Linked DNA regions of Schizosaccharomyces pombe. The gene in region 2 interacts genetically with the main gene of each other region. Each region holds a gene or a part of one and is shown on either strand. Other genes may lie near its edges.

Region 1 (5,521 bases), on a different chromosome or scaffold from region 2:
CAATAATCCTTTTCACACCTGTTTTTACCCATGGGAAAGCGGTTCCCAAAGTTTGTCACTTACTCCCATATTCTAATCTAGATTAAAACACATTTAGCTGCGAACATGGCACACCGGTTAATACCCAGCCATAGTTGAAATTAGTAGACAAATTGACTGAGTATCTCTTATCAAAAGTCAATACACATTTTGTTTGCGCTGACATTAAACATCGTTGCTCTTATGAATGCTATGTGTGTGTGTGTGTGTATGTGGAAATGTGTTAGTCAGTCAGTGTTTGCTTGAAATTCGCTGTGTGAAAATAATAAAGTGAAAAATAAATAAAAGGTTGTAAAACCGAATTCGTACAGTAAGGTGAGCGCCGACAAAAGCTCTTGAGAAAAAAAAAATCATGCTGCTATCAGTATTCGAGTCTTTTCGATTTCGTGGCAAAAGGAAGTTTTCCTCACATGTTTTTGTGCGACAATAGCCAACCCCATTCACTTAATTCCTTAATTTCCTCAAGGGTCAAAAAGATTAGGATAGCTGAATAACGTTTTGCATTGCATTATGTTGCAATACGATAGTAAGACATTATAGGGTATATATCATAGTTGGAAAGTGCGGATGTGCATTTTAGCAGACTACGTTATCATTCAGTAAATGTTTGGGATCTAAACTCTCATTTCTCCAAAAGATTAGAAAGCATCTACTTCTTGCATCACAACAAACTTTTAAACTCCATATTTGTTCAAACTAATTAATAAATTTTTAAACAATGCCTCCCAAGGGACTATCGCTTGCAGAGAAAAGAAGAAGATTAGAGGCCATTTTCCATGACTCTGTAAGTTCGTGATATGATTGTTCAAGTGCCAAAACATGATTTTTGCCCATTCGTGTCTCACTTTCCACATTGCTAATCTATGTTTTTTTTATAGAAAGATTTTTTTCAACTAAAGGAGGTGGAAAAGCTGGGCTCTAAAAAGCAAATCGTTTTGCAAACTGTAAAGGACGTTTTACAGTCTCTCGTTGACGACAATATCGTCAAAACGGAAAAGATTGGCACTAGCAATTACTACTGGTCTTTTCCCTCCGATGCTAAACGTTCAAGAGAGTCAGTTCTCGGATCTCTTCAAGCTCAACTTGATGATTTGAAACAAAAATCTAAAACTTTAGATGAAAACATTAGTTTCGAGAAATCCAAAAGGGATAACGAAGGAACCGAAAATGATGCCAATCAATACACTTTGGAACTGCTACATGCAAAAGAATCAGAACTAAAACTTCTTAAAACACAACTTTCAAATTTAAATCACTGTAATCCTGAAACCTTTGAATTAAAAAATGAGAATACTAAAAAGTACATGGAAGCTGCCAATTTGTGGACCGATCAAATCCATACTTTGATAGCTTTTTGTCGAGACATGGGTGCCGATACCAATCAAATTCGTGAGTATTGCAGCATTCCAGAGGATTTGGACGATCTGCAACTACCGATTTTGTGAACTTGACATGCTTCCTTAATTCAAAGAGTTGTTTTCCTTATTAATATTTTAAAATTTTATACATTTTAACAGTTACATATAAAATAGCTTACTCGACGACAAGACTTAGCTTTTAAAAGATAAAATTATAATTAGTTGGAATAATATTAAACGAAACAAAACAAAAGTCCAAATTCCTCAAACTTATAGTATTTGTTAACTTTGAAAGAAAAAAAGCATGTTTCTTTTTTTATAGTTTTAACTTTTTTTATAAATTTACGTAAGGTCATTAATTAAAATGCGACTGTTGTAACGGTTCCAAATCCAATGCCATTTCTGGCCTCAACAATATGAAATCTAAAAGCTTCTTCATGAGTTAGATTATCGAAGTGATGATGTTTCATAACCACATAAATAAGGAACCTTTGAGTCAATTACTTTACATGGTTCATAATGATTGTTCATGAACGGATATCTGATCGCATAATCTAACTCAATTTTCCGTTTTAACAGTCATTTCATCACTGTATAGGATTTGACGCTCATGGTAAAATAATAGGTAACTATAATCTGGTTAGTATGTAAAAAAATAACAGCAAAGAGCCTACGCTTGAGAATTTAAGACCTCCGATTCCTTTACTTCCACAATTGTGGTGTCATCCAGCAAAAACCACTACAAAAATTAGTAAAAATTTCCATAAAAAATTCAAAAAAAATTTAATATACTTGATTTTGGTAGTATGTATAGGCAATATAGTGCCCTGTGTCGAGAGTTCCTTTATGACACACAACTGAGTATAATTGATAATCCACATCATCTTGATTAAAGTTGTAGCGCATTCTTAAAAATGCTGGATAAGATACTTGCTTATCTATTTTAGTTGACATGGCAAAGTTATTTTGTTCAAATCGTTTCAATTGCATGCAAATAGTTGGAGGTAGTTTGTCAAAGACCAATTGTTTAATAGCATTTTTTGACCCGCAACTATGACAGCTATATTGAACTTTCTCTTTGGAAACAAACCTAAAATAATATTTGTTAAAAAATCTAAAAACGAGCAAATTTTACCTTTCCAAACATCCTTGAAGTGTTGGCTCATTGATGTCTAAACTAATGTCCATCAAAGGATCCACAGCCACCCGCTCCTTCTTGCAATCTAGGCATGTAACAACGTTTTTCAGAGATCCACTAAAAATACGATGAATAGGACAAGTGCACGGCATTGATGTTCCTCCTCCGCTTTCCGTATGCATTTGGTCCAGCAAGTATACAAAAAATTCGTGGCCATCTTGCTGGGAGTAACCACATAAAGATTTGCTGAGTTTCCACATAAGATTTAAGACAGCAGTGGGACCGTAAAAAGTAGATTTGTTTTTAGAATTATAAATAGATGAAAACATATCGTCAATGGCACAAGTCATGCAAGTAGGTCGCTTACAATCAGTAGAAGTATGAAACCCACTGAAAAACAAGTTTCGAACCAATGGATTATGCAAAATACTTTGTAAAATGACGCTCATGAAACAAGTAGCACCCAAGTTCTGGATCCCCCTCAAGCCTGCTGTTGCGCAAACTGGAGGGTATTTTCGATAGGCTTCTAAGCAAACCATTTGATTGTACTTCTCGGGAAGTCTCTTGTGATCACTTTGCCATGCCTTGATATTCTTGATCTTAAAACGAAGGGTTTCCAACTCGGTCTGATAAACGTAGTCTTGACAGCCAAAGCAGTAGGTATGGCCATTTTTTACATCCACGCCTAAGAATTAGTAATTGGTATTCGGGAATTGCATCCTAACTCGATATTCGCAAAAAGGTTTCGTTGCTAAATCAATAGCTATGTTTTCAACTAAACGTACCGATCATATGAGTGTGCTCCATTGCGTGTTCTTCACCATGATGTCCCCAAAGACATCCCACAGAATGACAACTCAAGCATCGAATACTCCGCTTGTTGATGCGTTTGCAAGTACTGCAGCGACGTGGGACAAACTAAATGAAAGAAATGTTAAAAGGAATCGAATGGAAAAAGAAAATTGAACTGTATGAAGTGTTGTTCACAAGCCTTACATGACAACTGAATATCTGGGTACAGATCTTTTGATAGTTTTCAACATCCGCCGGTTTAAGTTTAAGATGCTGGCAACCTTCTACATCCCCAGGCATCCTTGATACGTACAAAATTGGCCTTTCAGACTAAAAAGCATCTGCTTCGATGCAGGGTGAAACGACAACAATAGACGAACTCGCTATTCTGGCAAAAGAACATTATTTCTCTTTGCTTAAATTTGGGCAATTAAGGATGCGGTGTACAGCGTTAAGAGCCATAAAGTACTCATAGTGTCTGCACTACTAGATACCGATTTCGTATAAAGAGCTATCATAGCTACGCTAAGTCAATTGATAAAACACCAAAATAGATGTTCTTCGTAGTTCTTGAGTGTCCTTGGTTTTCCTCTTTAAAACATAAACTTGGTAAATTCCCATAGATTTGGCTGTTGAGTCACTGCAAAATAAAAAAAATTACTGCTAGTCCTTTAATCACGGTTGAATAGATGAAATTGTTAATTTTTTAAAAGCTTGGTCAAATTAGACTAATGCCTCTATTAACGTCGAACGTGTTTAAGTGTACGCTTATGTTTGTTGCCATGAAACGTTTGCAGGGCTAAATATAAAACCATATATGACTATTTACCGTGAGCATCTTTGTAATACAACCGAGTCACTGCAAGCAGGTACATGTACGAAAATTTTTGTCTATTACATTTGTATAGAATTTATTACTTAACAATTGACTAGGGGCAGATTTTTGTGCCGAAACAGTTTGTGTTACCCTAAATAGAGATTGTAGGGCAACAATACGTCTGCAGAAGTTCAAATATATATGTAGCAAATGAGTGTGACTTACTTAAAAATTGGTTTTTGATCAAGAAATAAAATCCTTTGGTGCTTTTTCTTTTTTATGTCTAGCCTTGTTGAATGTATTTTTCCATCACAATGTTGATCTTGTCTACTCAATAACACACTAGACTATGTTAAGTACACTTGCCCTTGCCCAATCTGCAATCGGACATCGTATTTTATTTTTGCATACTGAATTTACGTGTATTCGTAGTTTCACGAGTTAACGATTTTCGAATATCCAACTCTCATTGAACTTATAATAATCCGTAATCCTTTACCTTTTTTTTGATTACAAGTGTCTAATTAAGTTTTCTAAATCAAGAGAAATCAAAGATACAAGCAAAGCTTTTTTTCTTACGTACAATGAAGGGTTTAGGTCTAAGTACGAGAACCTTTAATTGGAGCTCACTTTCTTCCATTCTTTTACCAAGAATTCCTTTAGCTACTACAAAAGCCGATTCCTTGATTTTGGCTGTTCGTCACGATAAACAAGTTTTTTCTGAAGATTATCGACAAGTTGTTGACCAGTATTTTGAAACATCTCCCAAAAAAAATGACATTCGTCTCTTTTGGAACACTCAGGGTTTTGTTCGTCTTGCCATAGTCCAGCTTGAAGAAAACGTTTCTGAAAAGTCCGTTCGTTCAGCTGCTGCAGAGGCAGCTAAGATTTTAAAGTCGAATGGTGCAAAGTCGATAGCTGTCGATGGTATGGGTTTTCCCAAGGATGCTGCCTTGGGTGCTGCCTTGGCCACGTACGATTTTTCTCTTCGTAGAGACCATTTGAGCGTCTATCAAGATGAAAAGGTGGTTGAAAAGGAAAATTTATTTACCTCTCCTGCTCCTGAAAGGTTAACTTTCCAATTGCTTAGCAACACATCTGAGAAGAAAACTGCAACCGCAGAGGAGAATGCTTTTAAGGTAGGTTTGATTGAAGCAGCTGCTCAAAACTTGGCTCGTTCTCTTATGGAATGTCCTGCTAATTACATGACTTCTCTTCAATTTTGTCATTTTGCTCAAGAGTTATTCCAAAATTCCTCAAAGGTTAAAGTATTCGTTCACGATGAGAAGTGGATTGATGAGCAAAAGATGAACGGTTTACTTACCGTGAATGCTGGTTCCGATATTCCACCTCGTTTCTTAGAAGTACAATACATTG
Region 2 (8,019 bases):
AATGCTTTAGACGTTTTAAAAGTTGGTTCCGAACTTCTGACTTCTGTAAGTGATGATTGTACTATGAAGGTATGGATATTGTTATTAAAATATGGAATAGTTACTAAATTTAAGGTATGGGACTCGCGGTCAAAAGACTGCATAAAAACAATAGAAGAAAAATATCCCTTAACGGCTGTCGCAATAGCGCAGCAAGGAACCCAAGTTTTTATCGGTGGTATTGACGGAGCTATTAAAATCTGGGATTTACGAAACAATCACTGCTCGCATGTTCTGAAAGGGCATAAAGATATCATTACTAGTTTGGCTATATCTAAAGATGGATCTAGCTTACTTTCTAATTCTATGGACAACACGGGTATGCTAATTTTTTTTGGGTGTTTGATCAACCTTTGTACTAATGCTATTTTAATTTATAGTTCGAATATTTGATGTAAAACCTTTTGCTTCTGCTCAACGACAGTTGCAAATTTTTGAAGGAGCTATTCACGGACAGGAGCATAATTTGTTAGGTGTTGCCTGGAGTCGTAATTCACGATTCGTTGGTGCTGGTAGCTCTGATAAAAACGTATATGTTTGGTCAGCCACAGGCGATTTACGTTATGTATTACCCGGACATGAGGGTTCAGTAAATCACGTTGACTTTCATCCACATCAGGACATCATTCTTTCATGTTCCTCAGATCGAACAATATTTCTTGGGGAATTGAATTAATTTTTATTTCATGAATAATTTTTCAATAAACATTAAATACTATTAAAATTTTCTGTAGAACTTATTATTTGACGATCTTAGTTGTCAAGCCTGTTATAATTCCTATAACTACAAGTTTCTTAGATTTCGATTAATTATCAAATTATATGCGTTATGAGTACATCTTTATGGTAATGATACATCATCTAATCTTATTTCTAATTAAACAGGTTAAATAACTTAGAAGAATGGATGAATGAGGACTATATTCGAGCAATTTTTGAAAATGTTAGAAAAGTAAACTATTATGAAGATGGCGAGTCGGGAGCTATTTTAAAAACTTGCTGCATTGAATTTGAGAGTCAAGATGCTGCTAGGAATGCTTTAGAAAGGCAATCTACTCAACGATTAATATCTGGGAACCCGATCTCTTTAGATGTGGTTCCTGAATGGCAAAAACCTAGTTACTATATGCTTTTCATTAGTAACATTGATCCAGAAGTGTCTGAAAATGATATAAAATACTTGTTTCAACGTTATAACTTTATTTCTGCTCGTGTTCTACGTTGTGTTGACGGGACTTCAACTAGCATTGCTTTCATATGGTTAGCTAATGAAAGTGATATACAAAACGCGCAGGTAGAGATGCAGGGTGCCTTTTGTTTAAAAAGATCTATATTAGTTCATTCCGTCAAATCCGATAAAAATACTTACTTAAGTTCGCCTGGGTTTTATGGTACACCTCAACCACTAAATCAATTTACTGATCCAAACAATACAGCAGTTTATGTTCACCAACTCCCCGAAAATATAACGACACAAGAGCTACGATCATATTTCCTCCACTTTGGTGAGATTTTATACACTCAAGTCAATAATAATAGTGGACGCATAGTCTTTGCTCAACGATATTTTGCTGAGCAGGCAATTAACGAAATGAACAATTTCCCTTTGCATGGTGTTAGGATTCAGCTTTCTTGGGCAAGGCCCCCTTCGATGGCTCTTTTACCTTCCAAGCAATCTACGTATTGGCCGGCCCTTGCTGCTCCTGTATATCCCTCCATGAAGGATGTACCTAACAATCCCTTTACGCCGTTTTCTCCCATCAACCCGTATTATGCAAAATCCTGGAATCATACTGCTTCAGCACCTTTGCTTCCTCCAGGTTTAAAAAATGGTTCTGACTATCCTTATCTTTCTGTACCTCCCGATATTTTGAATGATAGTTATCTGGCAATGTGTGAAGCCGTAAACTCACGTTTAGATGCTGAATCAACTATGCTTTTACCCGTGCATTACTCACAAGCTTAAGAAATTAGCTGCAAGGCAATGCATCATTTGGTAAAGTAAAAGGATCTTAATCCAATATAAATTTTTATTTGTATAGCAAATACTGTGTCCTGCAAAAATAATTATTTTATAATCCATCGGACCTTTGGTCGAATATATTCTCTAAATTATTCTTGATAGCAATTGCTTATAAGTATACTCGTCGTTTATTAAAAGGTGTTTCAAATGACAAAAAACAAAATGGGGGGTTTGATATAACTTGAAATGCTAAACTAATATAACAAAATGGATTCTAGATAATATGTTTAAACCCTTATTACAATATTCTACAAGGCATTCATATTCTGTTTATCATAAATTTTGGACTGCTGAGACCTTCAAGTTAAACAATGCTTGAACGATTGAAAGTTATTTATAGAGCATCGCTCTTTCTGGCTCCGGCAGCTCTATTTGTCTCATAACGTTTAATCAATGAAACCGATAGCTGTCCTACTTGATTCAATTACCGCAATCAAAGTTCTGCTAATCTACATTCAAAACAAGTTGATCTTGGACAAAGATTCAAAAATGAATTTTGAAATTTCACGACTGATGAAATTGTCCTCGATTAGCCAGTAATTGCTTATTGAACATCCTTTTGGATATAAAATGAATCAAACTCTTTAATTAATCAATTAGGAGTGCTTATTAATTTAGTGAACATAAGCGTCGCAAGAAGATTAAGACTGAATTATCCGACTGTATCGTAAATGCAAGGTTAAGTCATAGTGAAAGCTGGGAACCATGATCATGCTAGGTCAATTGTATGCATTAATTTAAATAAATAATAACCAGTAATATAATAACACCAACCGATCGTACAGATGAATAGAGTAAATATTATATTTACAATTAGAGTTATATAGCACTGATCATTGCATAGATTAATAATAGAATAAATATAAAGCACTATAGCAAGAATAACAAGGTATTGATTAAGGTTGAGGGAAAAGGCGTTGTTCAATATATTCCTTTTCGGATGGATCGAACCAATCATGGCCTTGCTTTTCTGTGATAATCTTGCCATACTTTTCAAAATTTTGTGCACATGTCTGAAAGACAAAGCACCCAGCAAAATGAACACATAAATCACCGTCTTCATATCCCCAAGCAGGATCAGAAGAATCATATGCGTTTATTGAACGAAGAGTAACTAGCCCAACATGTTTATGCACAATGGGATGACTATATATCATATGAGAAAGGGCTTGTTGTTCGACAAATACACCATTATGTTCTTTATAAAGTGGTTCATTCCAAAAATCCAGCATCCATGTTCCTACTTCAGAATTCCTTATTAAAAAACTGCCAGCATTAATGCCATTAAAATCTTGAGCAATGATAAAATGTATATCATCAGGGTCTTGATTTTTAGGTGTTCGGAATCCTTCAGAGTCAATGCCAAATCCACTAAAATATTCGGTGTCGCGCAATAAAAGAGAATTTAGCTTTTCATGCTTCAAAATGTGATCAACCAGATTCAAATCACGATTCATAATTAAAGCATCGTGATCCAACCACCATACCCATTCAGCATCTGGATATTTTCTAATCACATTTTTAATCATGGGAATTTTAGCCCAAGGGGCAGGCTTGTCGCCAATTGAAGGTTTGTACTCATCTAAATCTAAAAATTCAAACTTAAAACCATGACGTTCTGCATAGTCGCGGCGATTTTTAATAATCGTTCTAATATAAGGATTTAAGGGTGAGGAAGGGTCATTTTGGGCATTGGAACCCATCAAAAGGACTATCTTAGAATTTTCAGGATGAGGATTAAGTGTGCTTAACTCTTGAGCTGTGGCAGTAACCGTTGGGGTTACTGTCGTAGTTTCTGTAACAAAAGACGTAGATGTAATCGTTTCGCTGACACTGGTGTGTAATGGCTCTGTGTAAACGATAGTAGTTGTTTCGTAAACTGCATTCAAAATTGAAGAATGTTCATTTAAGAAAAGTTGTACTTTCTGGTCGAGCCTAGTACCAAGGGTAGCATTCCACCATACTCCAGAAATAGCAATTATGCTGAGGATCACTGCTGGTATAACATAAGAATACCAACGCATTGTAAGTATGTAAGAGAAATTAGAATTGACCAATCCTTGGATAAATAAATATGTTCAAAGTAATGAAAAAATACCAATGATAATAAAAATGATAGCGAAGAAAAGAAAGAGCGGTGTAAATATCCTTCTTTAAAAATTGATGCAATAAAAGCTAAGATTTCTTATAAAATACTTAGCCTAAACTAAGATGTTAGATAAGTTCAGAATGTGAGAGGTAGATGTTCGTAGGCACTTCACAGCACACACATGCTCACAATAGCAGGCGAGACAATTTAAAGTACCTTTTTAATCTTATCGTTTACTAACACCAAAAAATATACCCTATTTACCCAAAGCAATAATCACCAAGTGTCCTGAAAGAGTGTATGTCAAATATAATGAACGTAGCGGTAAAGTGGAGATACAAGGTTTTATAGAGAGTGACCTATAAAAAATAAAATAAACTTTCGACCGATTCTCGTGTTACCATTCAGTTAAGTGCTTTAGAGGAAAGCTACTAAAACTTTTGATGTAGTTATAATGAAGGGAAGGAAAGCATGTACGCGTTGAAATTTAGTACATTTCAAATAAGTATATACGCTATGACTCACTATTCCTTATAATATATTAGCATAACTACACTACGTAATATGCGCTACGTTACAGTATCACTATATGCCATATGTTGGATTATCAGTTAAGATATGTTTATCAATAATTATATATAACTATCTTTATACACATGGATTCCCATTGTTAAAATATTTTAGAAAGATTATTAAATAGAGCTACATGAACTGAGGAGCGAGATTTAGTTATAAGCAGTATTAGTGACAGGTAACTATATAACCTACTTAACAGAATACCTATACTTATGGTACTTATATTATCTTCTTATTGCAATATAATAGATCACAAGGAAAACTCACTGCAGTACTATCGTTAAAACAGATACCAAAATGCATCGCTAACTTAATAAATATCGTAATGAAGCAAGAAGAATTCTCGATATATCAAACGTTTGTGATTAACGAGATTCTAAACGTTGTAAAACCTCGTTATACTTCAATTTTGATGCTTTTTCTTCTGCTGCATTGGCAAACATTTTTCTGAAGTGCTTGGATTTTTAAATTAAAATGCAAAGCGTCGCTTTCAATTTATCGGTTTCACTTTTTATTGTTGTATAATTTTTTGAGAAGAATATTAGTCTAACCTTTAGTTTGCACAATCGGAATGTAAGTATCAATAAATTAAGATTCTTTAATATATCTGTTGGAATCGTTCTTTTTTTTTTGGATGCACTACACCTTAAATTTTTAATATATATGCGATAATTGTACTCAGAAAAGCAAATGATAGCATTTTGGAATTCGCTTCAGACCTTACAGAGACTATTCAAAGTATTCTTGGAATTTAAGTTTGCAGCTTCGAAGAAAGTCGTAACTATTTTCTAGAACTGATTTTTTATTTCATGATAACGTTAAAATTTGCCCAGCAATAACTGTATTTTTGTGTACTTTACCAATAGCAATTTAGATTTTAACTAGCAAATCAAAGAAATATGGAGTTGTTGTCCTTCTCCATGCTTAATATTGCAGCCATATTTATTCTTTACTAACTCATCACCTAGCGATGTTTCGATTCCGTGTCTTTAGCTAAAAAATTGTTATGGTATAAAGATTCACGGATCGGCCGTTAAAATTATTCAATTACTTAACCAATAGAAAGGCCCCAGATTCGATTGCTATACCACTACATATTCGTTTACAATAATACAATATTACGGTTGAAGTATTTTTAAACAGCCAATCATTTTTTTTATTTTCAAAGCAATTTTGTTTAAGAGAATAAGACAGAATATTATTTCATAGTAAAAGTATATAATTATATTCTAATATACCGATATTGTAATGACGATAAATTATTTTTTAAACTAATTTATGGCATGTTGATAAAGCCAATGAAGGGACTGAGTAAATTGTATACCTCAAGCAAAAATTCGCTAAGCAAACGACAACTTCATCATAACCTGATGTTGAGTATGTTGTTGACGAGTAATCCCTTGTTTAATTTTTGTAAAACAACCGGATATCGGAAATATAGCAAAGGGATGAGAGCGATGGTACAAAAGTTGAGGTGCCACATTGGAACAATATTTAGTCATTATCCGAAATTTGTTATCCGTTTTTTAATTCCGGATGACATCTAAATGAATTGGGAGTTAATAGCCACTGACACGTACACTATAGAGTTAGTACTTGATTAAAAAAAAGTAAGAGAAATAGAGCAATCCTCAACCTTGTTAACTTTTCTTATGAGGTGTTAGCATTAATTCTTGTGTTCAGTCTTGCGCTCATGTCCGTTACTTGTGTAAAAATGTACGATATGTCGTCCCATATTAGTAAATGCCATGAATTATCATCCATCACTGATACCAAAATAAACGGTGATGATGAATTCAACAAATTCAAAATATCGTTATACACTGGTACTCATAGCTATTCTGTTTCCCTAGTGGAACATGTTATTCTCTTTCCTTCTCATATCTCTCGTAATGTGACGTCAAATTATAATATTCGTGTAACGAAACCAATCAGCAACCAGCCTTTCAATCAACCAATCACATAATACCTATATGGTCGAAAAATATGATAATATTGCTTTAAAAGTCATAATAGTTTTGGATGAGCGAGTTCAACTTTCAAGCTAGTCATTCAATTTAACGTTTTAATATAATTTACCTAATTTTTTTTAAATATAGAGAATGAATTTATGAATGAGGGGCATATGGTTGAATTTGAGATTCTATATATCGCATTCGAGATTTAGTAATATTGTAGCATTTCATTCTAGATTAACATAATAAATCACACACTAGCATGCTCTTGACTACTCTCTTACGCGGCAACGTAGATAACGTACATCAAAAATTTTACATTCGAATGGTGTTTTATTACGATTAGTTTAATATTTCGGCAAAGCAATTTGAATTTCAGTAAATGTAAAGGATTCTAGGCACTTACTATGACGTTGAAAAATAATATAAATATAAGCTTGCTTTCATTAAAACAACATCGTTAGCGAATAAATTCTAATTCACTTTTTCCTTCATTTGAATTTTTATTCTACTACTTTAAAGGTCTTTCATTAACATAACGACTGGCTAGAACTGCATTTTAGATTGCTTACCTTATATCAAATTCCAATTATGCTTAGCAAAAAATTTACCCCTTTGTCTTTGAAAAATGCAGCAAAATGCATAAATAATAGTTTGCGTTCTACTTATGCAATTACTGGAGTAAACCTTACGAGAGGACTAGCCACAAATTCAAAAGTTGATCCTAAAACCTACGCTCCTAAACCGGAATTTAGCTCGATTGCCGTTCGTGAAATGCTCCGAAAGTCATGTCTGCATGAATTCACTGATGAAGAGGTTGCTACGCGTATTGAGTTAGCTGCGGCATATCGTCTTTTTGGTTTAGAACATTGGAATGAGAATATTCTAAATCATTTGACTGCCAAGGTTGAGGAACCTGATGGAACCGCTTCATTTCTGATTAATCCTTATGGTTTACGATATGGTGAAATTACCGCTAGTAGTCTTATTAAGGTTGATGAGGATGGAAACATCAAACATCCTGGTGTTACGGGTGATGTTTTTGGCATCAATCGTGCTGGCTATGTTATACATAGTGCGATACACAGGGCTCGTCCAGATGTGAAGAGCATTATGCACAATCACTATCCATATGCTGCTGGCGTTTCATGTGTTAAACATGGTTTCCTTGAGCTTGCTCAAACTTCACACCAATCTGGTCCTGTCACATATCACGATTATCATGGAATTGTAGTTGACAAAGGCGAACAAAAGAGTTTGGCTGAAGACATAGCAAACAAGGATATTTTGATACTTCGTAATCATGGAATTATTACTGCTGCCGAGTCTGTAGGTGC
Region 3 (5,525 bases), on a different chromosome or scaffold from region 2:
TTTTTTTTCCAATAATTATTTCCAACATTTTAAGAATTACAATACTGATACTACCTGAAAAATATTTGGAAGCTTTATTGTACGTTTTAAGACATATTGTTTCGCGAAAGTGTAATAACGGAACAAATAATAAACTTCTTGTCGGAGATTTTCTTATGTATTGCTGAAATAATTTTTAGTTTGTTTTAATCCTGTAAGAATATTCATCGTTGAGTTTACTTTTCTAGTTCAAAGCTCGCTTAACTCAACCTAAATTTACACCACGGATAAATTGTGATGTCAATATGCAATGAAGCCGCGTTGATAATTATTCAGTCATAAATATTCAATATGTTCAAGTCCAGATAATTACACATTATATCTTCAGAGGCTTCAATTTTTTACGAACAACATCAATTTTTTAAAACCTGAGCATAATCTATAATTTTATAAACGTAGTTTTCCGAAACAACGAATCACTCTTTTATTAATTTGCAGATCAAATCACTCTTTCACAAAACAAAATGCTTTCCTTTTTTACAAAAAATACCTTGACTAAAAGGAAGCTTATTATGTTAGCTTTGGCTATAGTTTTCACCTTTTTTGCCTTCGGGCTATATTTTATTCCGCACGACGAGATTTCTGTTTTTGATTTTAAACTTCCTGCACTTCAATATGAAACTACGGTGACATCTCTCGATAATTTTTTGATCGGCGGAAGCACAACTTTGTATACAGCAACCGTTAATCACGAAGATCTCAATGAACCAAAATCACATGAAATAGTAATGCTTCTTGCTAGCGATGGAAACGTTGGAAGTTTTGAATCTAACTTACTAGATGATTGCTTTAAAAATCGTATAGAGTATGCGAAACTTCAAAACTACAATTTTGAATTCGTTAACGTTTCCAGTCTGGTAGTGCCACCTGTATGGGGAAAGATGCCCGCAATTCTACAAACAATGCGCAAGTATCCATCCGCAAAATGGATCTGGTGGCTAGATCAGGATGCTCTTATAATGAACAAAAATCTGTCCTTACAGGAATTATTTCTCTCACCTGCAATGCTCCAAAAATCATTGCTTAGGGAGCAACCAATTATAAACTCTTTCGGAGAAGATAATTTCAGAATCACTCCAGCGGCTTACTCCAAGGAAATGATAGAACAAATACAATTTCTAATTTCTCAGGATCATAACGGATTGAATGCAGGAAGCTTTTTAGTACGAAATTCAAGATCCATCGCTTTACTAATGGATTTATTGACTGATCCTTCTTTGGCAGATGCAGGAGTCGTGCGTCATGAACAAGATTTGATCGGCTATTTCATTCAAAAACACTCGCAGGTAGCTTCCATGGTTGGCATTCTTCCTCAAAGATTTATCAATGCTTTTCATGAAGGACCCCCTACAATGCAATGGCAAGAAGGAGATCTAGCTCTTCATTTCGCTGGATGTTGGGTTGAAAACAAATGCGCCGAGTTATGGACTAAATACAAAGATAAAATAATTTAAAAGGCTAAATCAATGCCCAAGTGTCGGCGCGTTATAGCCTCTAACATTTTCAATTGCATTTACAGTTAATTTATTATTACTATTTATCTTTTACTTCGTTATATTAATGCCGTCTTATTTAAACATAAATGATTCGCTCCATAAATAATTATGAAGCTGCACATTTTTACAAATCTAATTAATTTTCTTAAAAAAGAATAAATTCTATAAAATGCTTCAAAAACAACCCTCTAGACATAAAGTATCTTTTTCTAAAAAATATTAATGTCTAACACTAATTAAACTATCCTGTTTGGACCTCAGGCTAGTTTAAGCATCAAAAATTGCTAAACGCTTGTGATAATAATTAAAATTGGGGTTTGTTCATAAGGTCTAATGAGTCCATAATGAAGGAGAGATGAGAGGTATATTAAAATCAACCGCAAGTCCAAAATTATATTCTAAAAATAGGCTGACCGAAAGCAAATCACCGCTAACGGGATTTATAGACAGACGCAGGTAATAAAGTTGTATACATAGCCAGCAATCAAAGAAAGCTGAAGAGATCTAAACAATGTGCGTTTAGACAATAAGGATAGCAAGTCTAAAATAAAATTATGGTAATAAGTTAAAGAAATTTTCAAATATATAACATACAATTAGATTTTAACTTCTAATTGTAAAATAAGGTCACAATACAGAAAAAAGAAAGGTATTCCTCCTTTAATGAGTTTCATACTTATGAAAAGACAGCATTTCGCCATAAGCAGCATACCAGTCAGCTAAATATACTGGTGCAAATTCTGAGCTACCAATATTCCAGAATTTTCCGTGTGCTGTTTTTAAGAGAGGACGTTCGTCAATTGAGGGCCACACGCCATTGTAATAAGGATCAAGACGAGTCCAGGGAAACCATCCGTCCAAGGAAAATGCAAGATTCAACAAGCTTTGCTCCATCATTTTGGCATTCTCATACATATAAGGAAACCTTCCGATTTTAAGTATACGGTTAAAATGAAGCTCGCTTGGACGTATAAGCATTAAGCCAGCATTGAAATAAGGAGTATCTTCTGGAGGTATACTATGATGCTCTCCTCTATCAGAGACGGCTGCGAGAAGATAAGGGTAAAATTCGCTTCGACTGGCACCATATTCTTTAAAATCCTCATTGAAGTGATAGACGGTATCATCATCAGGCTTCGTGTAGGAAGGTAGCCGTGTATAGTTCAAGGTATTAATTTGTTGGTACATATAAGGAGTATCAAATATATCATCAATGTTCTTCATGATCAATATATCACTGTCAATTACGCAAATTTTGTCAAATTGTATTTGTTCGAAAATTCGCAACTTCGAAAACATTTGTTCATATCTAGCAGATATTTCTTGACTAAATGAGGATGTATCGTATACAATATCCGATGAAGCAATGGGGTCTATAACAATCACAGAAGCACCATCCTTTCGAAAACGTTCAATTTTCCACTCATCTACTCCACGGAGTGCAAGGATATGGATAGGGTATTTACTTTTGGTAGTAGGATGATATTTCAATCGGTGAATTAAAACCCTAGTAGCGTTGAAGTAGTAATCCTCTTCAGTAGAAGGCATAGTAAACAAACTCATATACGTATATTTGCCAGGCTCTTCTTTTAAGACGGCATTATCATTTTCCTCAACAAAGTTGTTTTTTAATGAAGTAAGCCGGTCATTAAGGGTTTGCTTATAATCGTGTCCGTTAAACACTAAGGTTGTCATCACAATAATCAAAACCACAGAAAACAACAGGAATTTGTAACGCGGAAGAGATAAAAAATTTGAAAGTGAAATTCGAGACATGATAAGAGATTAATTCAACGAACCGCTGAAACAATAGAATTTGAGACACGTGAAATTTTCGAAAGCCTTAAAAAAATGAAAAAAGGCTCTAAAGATGACTCCCTTTATGAGGATGTTACCCTCTAAAATTTATTTATTTCTTTTACCCTTAAACGACTTGCGTTAACAACCCTTTAAAGAAAAAATATCCGAGATTTATGTTTCATCACGCGGGTTGCTCTGCATTTGTCAATTTATTACCAGCACGTTGTTTGTACCATGTGCCGCGCTATATTCAGTTACAGTATTGTAATTCAAATTGTGGAATTGCCTTTTACAAATCCTAACGCTTTGTTTTTTCACAATCATCTTAGTTTGTGTGTAATGGTGTCAACTTTCGAGCTATCTGGATGTTGAAAATTATGAGCTTAAGCATGTAATAGAAATTGACACTAATGAATTAATTTGGTGAAGTTGTTTCAAACAGTGAAAAATCTGACTGTTAGCTGGAAAAGTATTGGAAATACCATTTAGCTTATTGGTAAAGTAAATATTGTGTAAATTTAACGAAATATATTTTGTCGATAAATCTATTCAAATATTCTTTCTCCTTGACCTGATAGACCTCATTAATCGGAAAATGCTTCTAGGTTTGTAAAGACACAAGTGTAAACAGTGGGTGCACAGACGTAATGGAACCACCGTTAAAAAATACATCTTTTAGACTTAGCAACTAATCTATATCTTTATAAGGCCAAAAGCCAGTGTAATCAATATAAAATAAGGACATACCAATACTTTGTAGGGCCAAAAAACAAGATAAATAAAAACTTAGTATAATCCGACACGAATGATTCAATAAAACTTCTATCAGCATTTAACAGAAAATGGCAGCTGCGGTGAAATGCAAATTATTAAAAAGATTTATTAACGCCAAACTGTTATTCCAATCTTCAATATTGCATTGGTAAATTGCCAAAGCAAATTAGTTGAACCAACAGAAACAGCTTCAAAGTCAATGTGAAATATATACAATATATAACAATTATTGATGGACGATTGTGTAAAACAAAACTCCCAGATATCTCGCTATAAAAAACTAACCTGAAACTTTGATTGCTATGGCACAACCGCTATATTAATTAGGTATGTAAAGATTAAAAAATAGTAAACATTATTAGAGATTCAGATAAAGAAAGGAAGATTGACGGAAAATTATACGGCGCTTTGTTTATATATATAAAATTTTTTAAAACACAAACAAATTAAACAGACGGATATAATGAATAAGCAACTTAGTCAATCAAGGCGTAAAACTTTTGCCATAGTTCATCGCAGCGGTTTTCAACCCAACATCCAGCAAAGTGAATTACCAAATCACCTTTTTGCCATTCCATATTTTCCGGACCTTCGTGAAAAGCATTTATTTTTCTTTGAGGAATAAGGCCAACCAGCGAAGCAAGTTGTGAATGCTTAGAAATCAAATATCCAAGCATGTCTTGTTCATTATTGGCTTTCGCACATTCTGCAACAACAGGATCTGTCCAAATATCCAAAAACAAGGCAGTAGCAGGTGAATTACGGAACAAGATACTACCTGCGTTTAATCCATTGTGATCCTGTGAGATTATGACCATGAGATTTTCGATATCTTTTAAACTATAATTACTTGGTGTATAACGCAAATCCCCGTTAGCATTTATAGGCCGTTTAGTGAGGATGGTATTAGTAATTAAGGTCTTTTGCAAGTTCTCAGGTTTCAAAAAGGAGTCTTGAAGGGAAAGATGGGTATTAGTAATAATTGCATCCTGATCCAACAACCAGATCCATTCCGCTTTGGGGTATTTCTTCATAGTTTGTAAGACGGCGGGCATCTTGGACCAAACGGCGGGAATAGGGAGGCCAGTAACATTGACATACTCAAAGTTGTAGTTTTGTTTGGTACTATAGTCAACTCTGTTCTGTATAGCTTCTTCAAACGTATTAGCTCCATTATTGTAAGAAGTGTGTCCATCACTAACTAGTAATAAGACAATATTTTGACTGGCAGGATTTTGCTGAGGCTCTGACTCGTATGACGCCTCGTGGAATGTAGTGCTTGTGGCCACCAAATGAGAGTCTAACGGCGCCAACTCAAACGAGTGATTAACGGATGGAGTGCCAATAGCATCGGAGAGCATGGGTGCAATTTGCTGATCATACAACTGGTTAACCTTCGACACCAAATCAACGTCC

What was found. Genes that interact genetically often act in the same process or in processes that back each other up.
Region 1: of gmh6 (region 2) and ubp8, changing one suppresses a phenotype caused by changing the other (phenotypic suppression), as found in Schizosaccharomyces pombe (2 studies listed by BioGRID, with this or other methods).
Region 3: mutations in gmh6 (region 2) and otg1 impair growth when combined (synthetic growth defect), as found in Schizosaccharomyces pombe (one study listed by BioGRID).

Annotation. Positions count from the first base shown.
Region 1 is NC_003424.3:577,764-583,284, forward strand, and holds ubp8 (SAGA complex ubiquitin Ubp8), read right to left. Parts: upstream 3,718-5,521; 5' UTR 3,628-3,717; coding exon 3,532-3,627; intron 3,454-3,531; coding exon 3,321-3,453; intron 3,221-3,320; coding exon 2,533-3,220; intron 2,488-2,532; coding exon 2,190-2,487; intron 2,186-2,189; exon of another isoform or gene 2,137-2,185; coding exon 2,072-2,136; exon of another isoform or gene 2,027-2,071; coding exon 1,957-2,026; 3' UTR 1,590-1,956; downstream 1-1,589. Other genes in the region: protein Mcp7, read left to right, coding at 758-823, 918-1,484; ysp2 (peptidase family M17 cytoplasmic leucyl aminopeptidase yspII (LAP yspII)), read left to right, coding at 4,729-5,521. UniProt on the Schizosaccharomyces pombe protein: Histone deubiquitinating enzyme component of the transcription coactivator SAGA complex. SAGA acts as a general cofactor required for essentially all RNA polymerase II transcription.
Region 2 is NC_003423.3:4,405,103-4,413,121, forward strand, and holds gmh6 (alpha-1,2-galactosyltransferase), read right to left. Parts: upstream 4,605-8,019; 5' UTR 4,087-4,604; coding exon 2,959-4,086; 3' UTR 2,183-2,958; downstream 1-2,182. Other genes in the region: U5 snRNP complex subunit Spf38, read left to right, coding at 1-69, 115-358, 420-715; U1 snRNP-associated protein Usp109, read left to right, coding at 869-885, 925-2,005; SPOM_SPBC1289.14 (adducin), read left to right, coding at 7,274-8,019.
Region 3 is NC_003424.3:164,225-169,749, forward strand, and holds otg1 (alpha-1,3-galactosyltransferase Otg1), read right to left. Parts: upstream 3,516-5,525; 5' UTR 3,312-3,515; coding exon 2,196-3,311; 3' UTR 1,590-2,195; downstream 1-1,589. Other genes in the region: alpha-1,2-galactosyltransferase Gmh1, read left to right, coding at 504-1,493; alpha-1,2-galactosyltransferase Gmh2, read right to left, coding at 4,586-5,525.